Linked DNA regions of Coturnix japonica. The protein of the gene in region 1 purifies or fractionates together with the protein of each later gene. This does not show direct contact. Links are inferred from orthologs where the notes say so. Each region holds a gene or a part of one and is shown in the gene's direction. Other genes may lie near its edges.

Region 1 (3,655 bases):
TTTGGAAAGTGCAGTCCTGCATCTCCTGCATGGGTTGGAATTTACCATTAGAGTGACTGCAGTGGATGAGTGTTCAGAGCTGCAGGAATCTGAAGGGCTATGCTATGCAGGGGGCATAGATTACATTGTTAAGACTGTCTGCTGTTCCTCTGGCGGACTCTCAGAGCTGCTTCCCTCAGCATAAAAGTAGGTTTGTCTCCAGGCTTTCTAACGTATTCAGTGTATGGTAGGGGCGTTGTAGATTGTTTGCCTTCCATTTCCTTTGAGACAATTCTGTTTACTCCGTACTTTATGTGGCTAGTCTCCATTTACCATACTTGTCTTCAGATAGTGTTCTTTTCCTAATGCTTATTTGTGGTCTCTGTAACCTTCAGTGTTACTCCTCCACATTCCAGGCTTACTTATTTTTGTCTTTGGGTCTCCAAGCTCTTTCCCTTTTGGGGAAGGAAGACCAACAGATTCAGCATTGGATCATTTCAGTGCTTAAAGCTGTGTACTGTAACTGTGGTGTGTATTGTAGTCAGTTACAGATTTGCCTTCAGTAGTTAACTGCTTTTAACTTTTTCTTTTAAGAATAAATGAAGCCATCCTCATTTGCTCATGGTGTTGTAGTGCTTTGCAGCTAGCTGTGTTACTTAGTTTATTGCCTTGGAATTAGTTTGGGTAATGTGTGGTTCTTGAATTTTGGATAATGGAAGGTAATAGTTAAAATCTTCTGATATGTTCTTTCCTGCAGGATAACGAGCGTTGGGAGACAAATCGCATGCTGACCAGTGGTGTGGTTCATCGGATTGAAGTGGATGAAGATTTTGAAGAGGATAACTCAGCCAAAGTGCATCTGCTGGTGCATAACCTGGTGCCTCCTTTCCTAGATGGGAGGATAGTCTTCACAAAACAGGTAGAAGCTGTGGCTAACGGTGCCAATGATGGGGAGCCTCACAAATGTGAGCTCTCTGTGTTGAAGCAATGCCTCTTTCCTTTAGCCAGAGCCAGTCATCCCTGTAAAGGATGCCACTTCTGACTTGGCCATCATAGCCCGAAAGGGCAGCCAGTTGGTGCGCAAGCACAGGGAGCAAAAGGAGCGTAAAAGGGTATGTTGAGACCTCACTGTACGTGTTATGTAATGCCTCACAGCTTTTGTTTGGACTTTGTAGAATATAAGCTTTGATGGTAATGGTAATGTGTTCCCCTTATTTGTGTGATCTGACATATCCTGTTAGTCCAGTTCATTGCATTGTCTCACGAGTAGCTGTTGTGACTTCTTTAGGCACTGCCTGGGATGTTAATTACTGTGCATTTGTGCTGGGGAGTGTGATCCAAAGGGCATTTGGATGGGGAGAGAAGAGCAAGTGGAAGAATACCGTGTAGCTCAGGCACAGTCAACATTCAGTGTGGTAGCAGGACAGATCTCACCATGTCTCAGCAAAAGATTTTTGAGAAAGAATATACAGGAAGGTGGTGTATTAGTCTTTGTGGATGTTTCCCTAATAGAAAGACTTTCTCTAAAGCTTACATGATAGCAGTTAGGAAAGCATAGATGTGTTCATAGTAAACTGAATCTGAGCTGGTGTACTGTGAGTGGAAAGTGGGAAGTCCTGTTATGAAGCGTGAGAGAAAACAGAATGGTGAGAGTACCTGTCGATACCTGTTAATAGTAGGAAGATTAGCTCTGGTTCAGATTGTTGTTTGTTTAAGTGTAAATATAATGGAAGGGTCAGCAGCTGAAACAGTATTCATAGAGGGCTGTTGATCATCCTGTGCTTGTTGTGTCTTTATCCAAACCAGTGTCTAAAAAAGTTCTGCCCCAGTTTGCTTGGAGGATGGAGACTTGATATAGGAAATGTGTGTTCTCTCCTTAAGCACCAGGGGATTGAGGCAAACATGATTTTCTAGCCTTAGGAGTAGGACAGAAGGAGAATGATTTTTCAGTCCCCGCTGTGGTACTTACACTGCTCTTTGTGCTTCCAGGCTCAGCATAAACACTGGGAGCTGGCAGGCACAAAACTGGGAGACATTATGGGGATCAAGAAGGAAGAGGAGAAGGATGAGATGGTGACAGAAGATGGCAAAGTAGATTACAAGTAGGAGCTTTTGGATGATTTCTGCCTAGCTGGTGGTGTTATGCCTATGCTACAGGCAAAGCAAAGTGTGTGAGGAGACAGCTTCAAGACTTCTCATGTTTCCTTAGGACAGAGCAGAAGTTTGCTGAACACATGAAAGAAAAAAGTGAAGCAAGGAGTGAGTTTGCCAAGAAGAAGTCGATTCTGGAGCAGAGACAATATCTGCCCATCTTTGCTGTGCAGCAGGAGCTGCTTTCCATCCTCAGGTATGACTGCTCGGTAACCAGTTGTAGTGTAACCCTGGGGCTTTGGCTTACATTTCAGGATCCCAAGTGAGAAATTTACCTAGATATGTGTTCTGTTTGGAATCTTTGAAAACAAAGCTCATTGCTTTGTGTGATTGATAGCAGCTCTTCTGCCAAAGCAGGACTGCTTTTGTGTGGCCAGCCAGGGCTATGAATGAAGAAGGCTGTCTTTGTGGTGTATGAATAAATATTGTTCCCCTTTCTTCAGGGACAACAGCATTGTGATTGTGGTAGGGGAGACAGGGAGCGGTAAAACAACTCAGCTGACGCAGTACCTCCATGAGGATGGCTACACAGACTATGGCATGATTGGCTGCACGCAGCCCCGCAGAGTGGCAGCCATGTCGGTTGCCAAGCGGGTCAGTGAAGAGATGGGAGTGCGTCTGGGAGAGGAGGTGAGTCTGGCAGCATATGTAGGCATGCAGCCTCTAGACAGTGCATATGCAGAGCTGTTGAAGACTTGCTGATATCTCTGCCCCCCAGGTGGGTTATGCCATCCGCTTTGAAGACTGCACGTCAGAGAGCACGATAATCAAATACATGACAGATGGGATCCTCCTTCGTGAGTCGCTGAGAGAGGCTGACTTGGACAACTACAGTGCTATCATCATGGATGAGGCACACGAGCGCTCGCTCAATACTGATGTGCTCTTTGGCCTGCTTCGGGAGGTGTGTGTGAGCCTGGGCTACAGGAGGACAGCAACACGGGGCATATGAGCTGGTCTTAGGGCAGAATATTGGCAGGGTTAGTGCTTCTCCCCCAGGTCAGAGCAGAGATCATGAACAGAGACTGCTGCATCTCTGACTGCACTTGATGCTTAAACATCTTGTTCTTTGTTTCTTAAATCTCCCCTTTAGTGTACTGCCAAAGGCTTGCTGGTATAAAGTAGCTCTAGTTACAGAGGTGTTTGCAGGTGTAAGACTTTCTCAGCTGGGGACAGCCTGTCTTTTTAACTGGACAGTGTGTGTTTTCGTACCATGGCATTAGTGGTTAGTGTTTCTAGAGTACAGTGGAAGCTCAGCCCTTTGCTGTTTTTTTCAGTAGTGATGGAAGAAGCCTGGACCCACATACAAATACCACTTGTTTATTGTCCTTTTTATCTGTTTTCTAGGTGGTAGCACGTCGCTCTGATCTGAAGCTCGTTGTCACCTCTGCCACCATGGATGCTGATAAATTTGCCTCTTTTTTTGGGAATGTTCCCATTTTCCACATTCCTGGGCGCACCTTTCCTGTTGATATTCTTTTCAGCAAGGTATGGTCAATGTAGTAGAGAGAGTTTGTGTTGTGAA
Region 2 (3,655 bases), on another chromosome or scaffold:
AACAAAACCCTCATCACACTTTAAATTCAAGTTCTCACTTGTAGACCTGCAGTATGACAAACATTTGGAGGACAGGAAGGAGTCAATTTCTGCATGTGTATAGTTAAGGCGATTAGAAAACAAGCTAGGAATAATACGACATTATGGGATGAATAATAAATTCCCATTTAGCTCTGTCTATTAAAATCTAAGTTGAAAACTATTTCTAATTAATATCTCTCGTACTTTTCAAAACATTGTATAAGAATTTAATTTCCCAGTACAATGTAGTCATACTTGATTTGGTCATCCATCTAATCTGAGGTCATCTGTTGATGCAGGTTCCCCATCTGGAGTCTAATAATTGTATAGATGAAATCTTGCTCTGTCTTGGATTAGAATGGCTATACTTATTCTACTAATAGAAGTGCTTATACTTAGAAAAGTGGACAGGACTTTAACTGAACCAGAAGCAGAACTGAACAAGGACCAGAATTACACTGTAGACTGGTTCTTGCTCCTTTCTCTATTTCTAAACTAATTTTTAGCATGTAAGATAACTTGTTAAGGGCACCCAAATTTTAAACAATGGTTTATCCATTGTTGTCTGTATTGCACTGTGACATAAACACTGAGGTGAACCACGACACTTTGGAGTACTAGAGTGGTATAGAAGAATTTTACCATCATGATCTTGTCTTGTTTAGTGTCTCTGCTAATAAATTCCTGGTATTGAGTTGTTGTTTTTTCTGTTACAAGTAAAGTTGTACTCACAAGTAGAGCAAATTCTTTTAGTAAAGAGATTAAAGATATGTGTGAAAAGTCAAACAATTATTAGAGATAATATTATCGCCTGTCAGAATTTTATCATGTTGATAGTTAACTGCTAAAAATCTTTTTGTACAATCTGTTGTTATAAAAAGTTGATCAAATACTGAGGGCTTCAAGTCCAGTTAGGTTTTAATTAAAGGACAGCAAACTCCAGAACCTCTCACTTCACCATGTTTTAAGTCATCGGTACTCATATGTTTGGGAGCACAGTAGGATAAGGCACAGTCCTTGATGTCAATAGCTGACAACTAGGACCTTTCAGCTTTTGTAAAACACAGATCTTCAAAAGTGAAAGCAGGCATTTTCCACTATGGGTGAAGTGTTATCAGAAGCTATGTTGTTGTTTCTCAAGCTCTCATATCAGCTCTAAAAATATTTGGAAGGCCTGTTTCTACGGAGAAGTTTTGTGAATTGCTGAGCTAGCTGTAATTAAAGAAGACATCGTAAGAAAAAAGGACAGTGTTAAATTAATTTGGGACCTACATGTATAATAAAGTCACTGAAAAAGAGATTTCCTTCTAAGCTACTGTTATTTAATTTGTAGGATTGCTTAGCATTTTTAAGTGTAATGAGGTTCTTATTTTTTTCTTCATTTTATAGATGAACATAGGTATGAAATCAGCAAAAGGAGAGTTTTACAAGGAAAATCAGTCCCTCACTATGCAGCAGTAGAACCAAGTGGAGATGGTCTAATGATTATTTCCTACAAACCATTCAAATTTGTACCAGAAGAGGAAGAAATTTTAGAAGAAAATGATGATAAAACAACAAATGAAAAGAAAGGTAAAACCTATTTGACAGGTTATGATAGATTACTCACTGTTTTGGATAAGAAAAGAGCTTGTTTGGAAATCCTAGTAAATGTTAGTCTTAATATCTGCCTTAAATGTCTGGGTTTTTTTTTTTGTTTGTTTGTTTGTTTTTTTCCTGATCTATTTATTTATTTTTTTCATGGGCAGGTGGACTTCATTGTGTTTGTTTTCTTCCTGGAAAGTTGTATTGTGCATAAGCCTATAGGGGAAACATTTTGGCATAGAAGGAACATAAAGAATTTCTTTGACACAAGGATAATGGCATTTTGCCAAGAGAACCATACTGATTATTTGCTAACGGTTGAGTTGTTTACTCAAAGTTTAGGCTGCCTAAATTCAAGCATTTAGCTGAAGTACTCAGATGGAGAAGTTAGTCTTCCTAGATAAAATAAGGGATATGGCACCCAAACAGTTGGGAGTGAAGCTCCCCCAAGGTGCTGTTCAGCAGGGAGATCTCCCTGGGGTGTAAAATACACTTACTTTTCAAACAGCAATAAAAAATCATTTGTTTGGTTTTTTTATGAATGAGAATCTTGTAAAGATCTTCATTAAGAAAGAAGTCTTAGAAAAAAAAAATGACTTCAAGAAAAGGCTAAACTCTAACGTCCCTTCCAACCCACACGAGACTATGATACTATGATTAAGCTGGTTATATTACTCACTGTTATTTTGGCTTTTTCCTTTGCTCCTTCCTGTTCTGCCCTATTCATGCTTTATTGCTAATAAAGTAGTCTAGAAGGTAATGCAAAGGAAAAGAAAGAAGAAAAAAAAAAAAAAAAAAAAAAAAAATAAAAAGAAAGTTTAATTCGATCAAATTCCAATTCAGCATAAAAAAAGACCAGATAAAGTCTGTGTCAAAGGTAAGCAGCTTCAGCTGCTGACATGGTCAGCCAAATATTGTACTGTGACAATATGGAGAGCTTCTAAAGCATTTCAGAAAATGAGTCCATCCAAACTTCAATTCTCCTCTGAATTTAAAAGAAAATGAATACACCTGTAGCTGTGTTTTCTATGACCATGTTTTCACCGCTCAGTCATGCTGTCATAGCCTTTATGGAACAGAATAGTTTCGGTTGGAAAACACCTACTAAAATCTCCAAGTCCAACTGTCAGGGATACTTTGGGGCCAATCCAAAGTTAAAACACACTAAGAGTGTTACTGAAGTGTTTCTTAAGTATGGGCAGCCATGGGGCAGCAGCCACCTCTCTAGGAAGCCTGTTCCCATGTCTAAAAACCTCTTTCTAATTTTTAGTGCAGCTTTAAGGCATTCCCGTCAGTCCTGATGCTGGATGAGCTCCTCTCCACCTGCCAATCTCTGGAAGTTGCAGAGGGCAGTGAGGTGACCCCTCAACCTTCTTTCTTCAGGCTTAACAAATTCAGCGTCCTCATCCACTTCTGACTGAACACGTCCTCTAGCCTTTAAACAGCTTTTTTGCTGTCCTCTGTTTAAGTATTTCTCATAGAAAGGCAGCTTAATAATCAAGATAGGCATCAGGCAGATTGTAGACCCAGAAGCAAAATTCAGTTGTTACTTCTTGGAAGGCAGTTCTATTTCATCTACGTCAAGTGAAGCAAATGAAGACTATTTGGTCTTCTAAAACCATTTCTGTAATTGTCAGTGTAACTTCTGGCAAAATAGATGAGGGAAATATGTTCATATTTCTGAATAGCTTACACCCCTGAGTATGGAGTAGCTTGTCATAACTGTCGTGCTACTGGTGTCTGTTTAACTGAGTCATTGATCATTAATACCTCAATGTACTGAAATACATTTTGGATATCAATTTCATAAGGCTGTAATAACTGTAGGTTAGTATCTAACATCCACTGGATAACTCCATCAGCATATTTGAGTACAGACATTAACAGAAGTTGTTTTCCAGATGAGTGACACAAATTAATTTGATTGTTTAAAAAAGTTTCTGTCTAATAATCAGGATGTATTTTAAGAAAATTGTTTGCAGTAGAAATTAATCGCCATTCTTTCCCAGGTCTCAGTTCTGTCTCACCCAGCATTACGTGCTGTAGAATC
Region 3 (2,998 bases), on another chromosome or scaffold:
AAAATCTATTATCGCTCTTATCAAGTTGTGCATGAAGTATTTTCCCACACAGAAAAATGATATGTCATTATTTGTTCAATAATGTTGCATTGGTTTTTGTTTTCGTGTTTCCTGTGCAGTAAAAGAGAGTGAAGAAAAGGAAGTTCTTCTGAAAACAAACCTTTCAGGTCGTCAGAGCCCAAGTTTCAAGCTTTCCTTTTCCAGCGGGACAAAATCTAATCTTAGCAGTCAGTCATCTGCAAGTAATCTGCCTGGATCCCCAGGTTCTCCCGGATCTCCAGGATCCCCTGGGTCTCCGGGGTCCGTTTCTAAAAGCACATCTCAGATGGCAGCTATTACAACTAAGGTAATTTTCAACAGAAGTAGTCTGACTTCATTGTTATAGACTGGGAATTTTCTTTAGCATGTTTCTGAAGTTGGTGGGGATTCTGACATACTAAGCAGTTGTGGACTGTATGGTTTGTGCATGCTTTTTGTCTAATGTTTAGTATTTTCCAGATCTCCTATATATAAAAAGAAAAAATAAAAGCTCTGTTTATGCCCAAATACATAATTTTTGTACCATGTCTCTCAGGTGGTACAATTCTTTAAGTATGGAATGGAGTCTTTACATATGGAATATATGCATTCACTATTAACTTCACATTTTCAATGATGATAGAACAAGGAATGTTCAGACTACACTGAATATGCAGTGCACTGAAAAAACTAATAAATTCAAGCATTAATTCCTTTTTTTTTTCAGTGTAACATGCATTGCTTATAAAGGTGCTGCATTCACAAACTAGAAACGTTGTAATTAAGTACTTCAATAACTGTTTGATCCTCTTGTATATTCAGTGTTGTGCTACATGTGATGGTACAAAATGTGTGCAATTTAATAGAAGTACAATTTAATGCATGCATCTTGGTACTGAACAGTTAGCTGAAATTTTCTATTTTAAGTGCCCATCATCTGTTTAAATAACATGATCCTTAAGTAAAGAACCAGCATCTGTCATCATAGTTAAGTCCTTGTTAAGCTTCAGAAATTGTGACGTACAGTAGTTAAAGTTTTTAAAGATGGTGTCACCTCTTTGTGGGTTCTAATCCCGGATTTGTGGTTATATGCAGAACAAGAGAATTTAAATTTAATTGCTGAACACTTAAACTGGCTTTTGTGAAGACAGACTGTTGCTATAAAAGTGTCCCAGTTGGAAATTCAAACTCAGGGTGTTCTGTATTTATTTCTGAAGTGCTTCCAGATTGCTTGGTGCTGCAGTCAGCTCTGCTCGGTGGGAGAAATTTGCACTTTTACAGACTGAGCTGTGGTGTATATTTAGCAAAACGAAGTAGATTTTGGGATTTTCTTTCTGCTGTATCTCTACCCAGTGGGGTACTTAAAACCCCATTTTGTCTTTATTCATTTAAATATTTTTCAGACAATATAATCTCCATTCATACCTTTTGTTCTGCTCGATTATATCCAGAACGTGATTAATCGATATCCTTACGGCAAAATGTTGTGCAAAAGTCATTTTCTAATAGAAACATGAAGTGCAAACTATTTTCTTAATTAAAGTAGCTGTGCCTGTCTTTGTAGGGAGGCCTCGTTGGGCTTGTGGATTATCCTGATGATGATGAAGAGGATGATGAAGATGAAGATAAGGAGGAAACTTTACCTTTGTCAAAGAAAGCAAAGCTTGAGTCATCATAATGGCAACTGCTGAAGAACATTACCATTTGGGGGAAGGATATTTTTTCCATAGAAAACAAACCCACAACAAAGCAGCAATCTTTTGTGAATTACTGTGTGTAACACAGACCAACCTATACAAATGGATTTCTGCCAATCAAGTGCCAATTGAAAGGAGCAGAAGAAGGGGAAATACTTCGTTTAGGGGAAAGACTTACGCCTTTGAGCTCTCCAGCTTGGACCACGTGTTGCCCTTTTCTCAGGGAAGGAAATGGAAAACAAAAACAAAAAAGCCAACAGGGCAGGAGTTTTGTTAGTGGAACTCTGGATTGGCTGGTCAGTTGCTACAATCAGAGTATGCTTTCTTGGACCATACATGAGACTTCTGAAGAAAAGGCGGTTTTTGCCATAATTCTTCACTAGTTAAGAATGCCAGCAGTTTCTTTGTATAAAAGAGACCTGCCTTTGAAAATCGTACATTCTGAACATTTTAGTCAAGCTACAACAGGTTTTAAAAACCTCTGTGGGGGAGGGGCTGAATATCAAGTTTCCTTTTTTTCCTGTTTTTTTTTTTTTTTTTTTTTTTTTTTTTTTTTTTTTTTTTTTTTTTTTAAAATCTGTTCCCTTTGCCCTTTAAACTGCAGATTTTATTTTTTTTTTGGAGGTGGGGGATTTGTTTGTCCCTTTCTGATTAAAGATTGAGTGGAATTCTAGATGTGGTCACTTTTGTGTCATAATTTTTTTTGACCCCCTGAGTGTATGCTTAGTTGTTGAGTATATATTTGGGACCATTAAAATTTTTTGATGTAATATAATCTCACTGTTGTGCTGGTACCTGTTTCACCCTGTGGAATTTTGTTCTGCATCACAGTTCTTAATGTGTTTAGGATTTTACGGAAGATGGTATAGTTTTTATTGGATAAAAAATCCTTAATCTTACCGCAGTGTGCATAAAAAAGCAATACTATTTTGTGACTAAATATTTTATATGAAATTTTACATCAGCAGATGTCCTGCAAAAAAAAAAAAAAATTCAGGGAAAATAGGATGGAGTTAAAAAAATAGATACCTATAAACATGAAATTAGTATTTCAAAGAGACTTGGAAATTTCTTAGCAATGGTGGTAGACTAACTCATCAAAATGGAAGGTGGATGATTTAGGAATACCAATTTAATGACTTATTTGACTTAATAGAAGTTAAAAAAAGAAGAAGAATTAAATCTGAAGGAAAATGGCATTAGTGGTTGGTTTTTTTGTTTTGGTTTTTAACTTCTGGCTTCCTTTGGAATACCAGTTCTAGTGAATCAAAGATGGTTGCAAA

What was found.
Region 2: the proteins of DHX38 (region 1) and NUDCD1 purify together in Homo sapiens (co-immunoprecipitation; 3 studies listed by BioGRID and IntAct, with this or other methods). This does not show direct contact. The link is inferred for Coturnix japonica from reciprocal best matches to the Homo sapiens genes DHX38 and NUDCD1.
Region 3: the proteins of DHX38 (region 1) and PPP4R3A purify together in Homo sapiens (co-immunoprecipitation; 3 studies listed by BioGRID and IntAct, with this or other methods). This does not show direct contact. The link is inferred for Coturnix japonica from reciprocal best matches to the Homo sapiens genes DHX38 and PPP4R3A.

The regions. Positions count from the first base shown.
Region 1 is NC_029526.1:17,617,882-17,621,536, reverse strand, and holds part of DHX38 (pre-mRNA-splicing factor ATP-dependent RNA helicase PRP16), read left to right. Parts: intron 1-736; coding exon 737-898; intron 899-983; coding exon 984-1,091; intron 1,092-1,968; coding exon 1,969-2,081; intron 2,082-2,188; coding exon 2,189-2,326; intron 2,327-2,573; coding exon 2,574-2,760; intron 2,761-2,848; coding exon 2,849-3,034; intron 3,035-3,477; coding exon 3,478-3,618; intron 3,619-3,655. UniProt on the Homo sapiens protein: Probable ATP-binding RNA helicase. Involved in pre-mRNA splicing as component of the spliceosome.
Region 2 is NC_029517.1:119,470,116-119,473,770, reverse strand, and holds part of NUDCD1 (nudC domain-containing protein 1), read left to right. Parts: intron 1-1,410; coding exon 1,411-1,593; intron 1,594-3,655.
Region 3 is NC_029520.1:40,221,201-40,224,198, reverse strand, and holds the end of PPP4R3A (serine/threonine-protein phosphatase 4 regulatory subunit 3A), read left to right. Parts: intron 1-119; coding exon 120-346; intron 347-1,582; coding exon 1,583-1,696; 3' UTR 1,697-2,485; downstream 2,486-2,998. UniProt on the Homo sapiens protein: Regulatory subunit of serine/threonine-protein phosphatase 4. May regulate the activity of PPP4C at centrosomal microtubule organizing centers.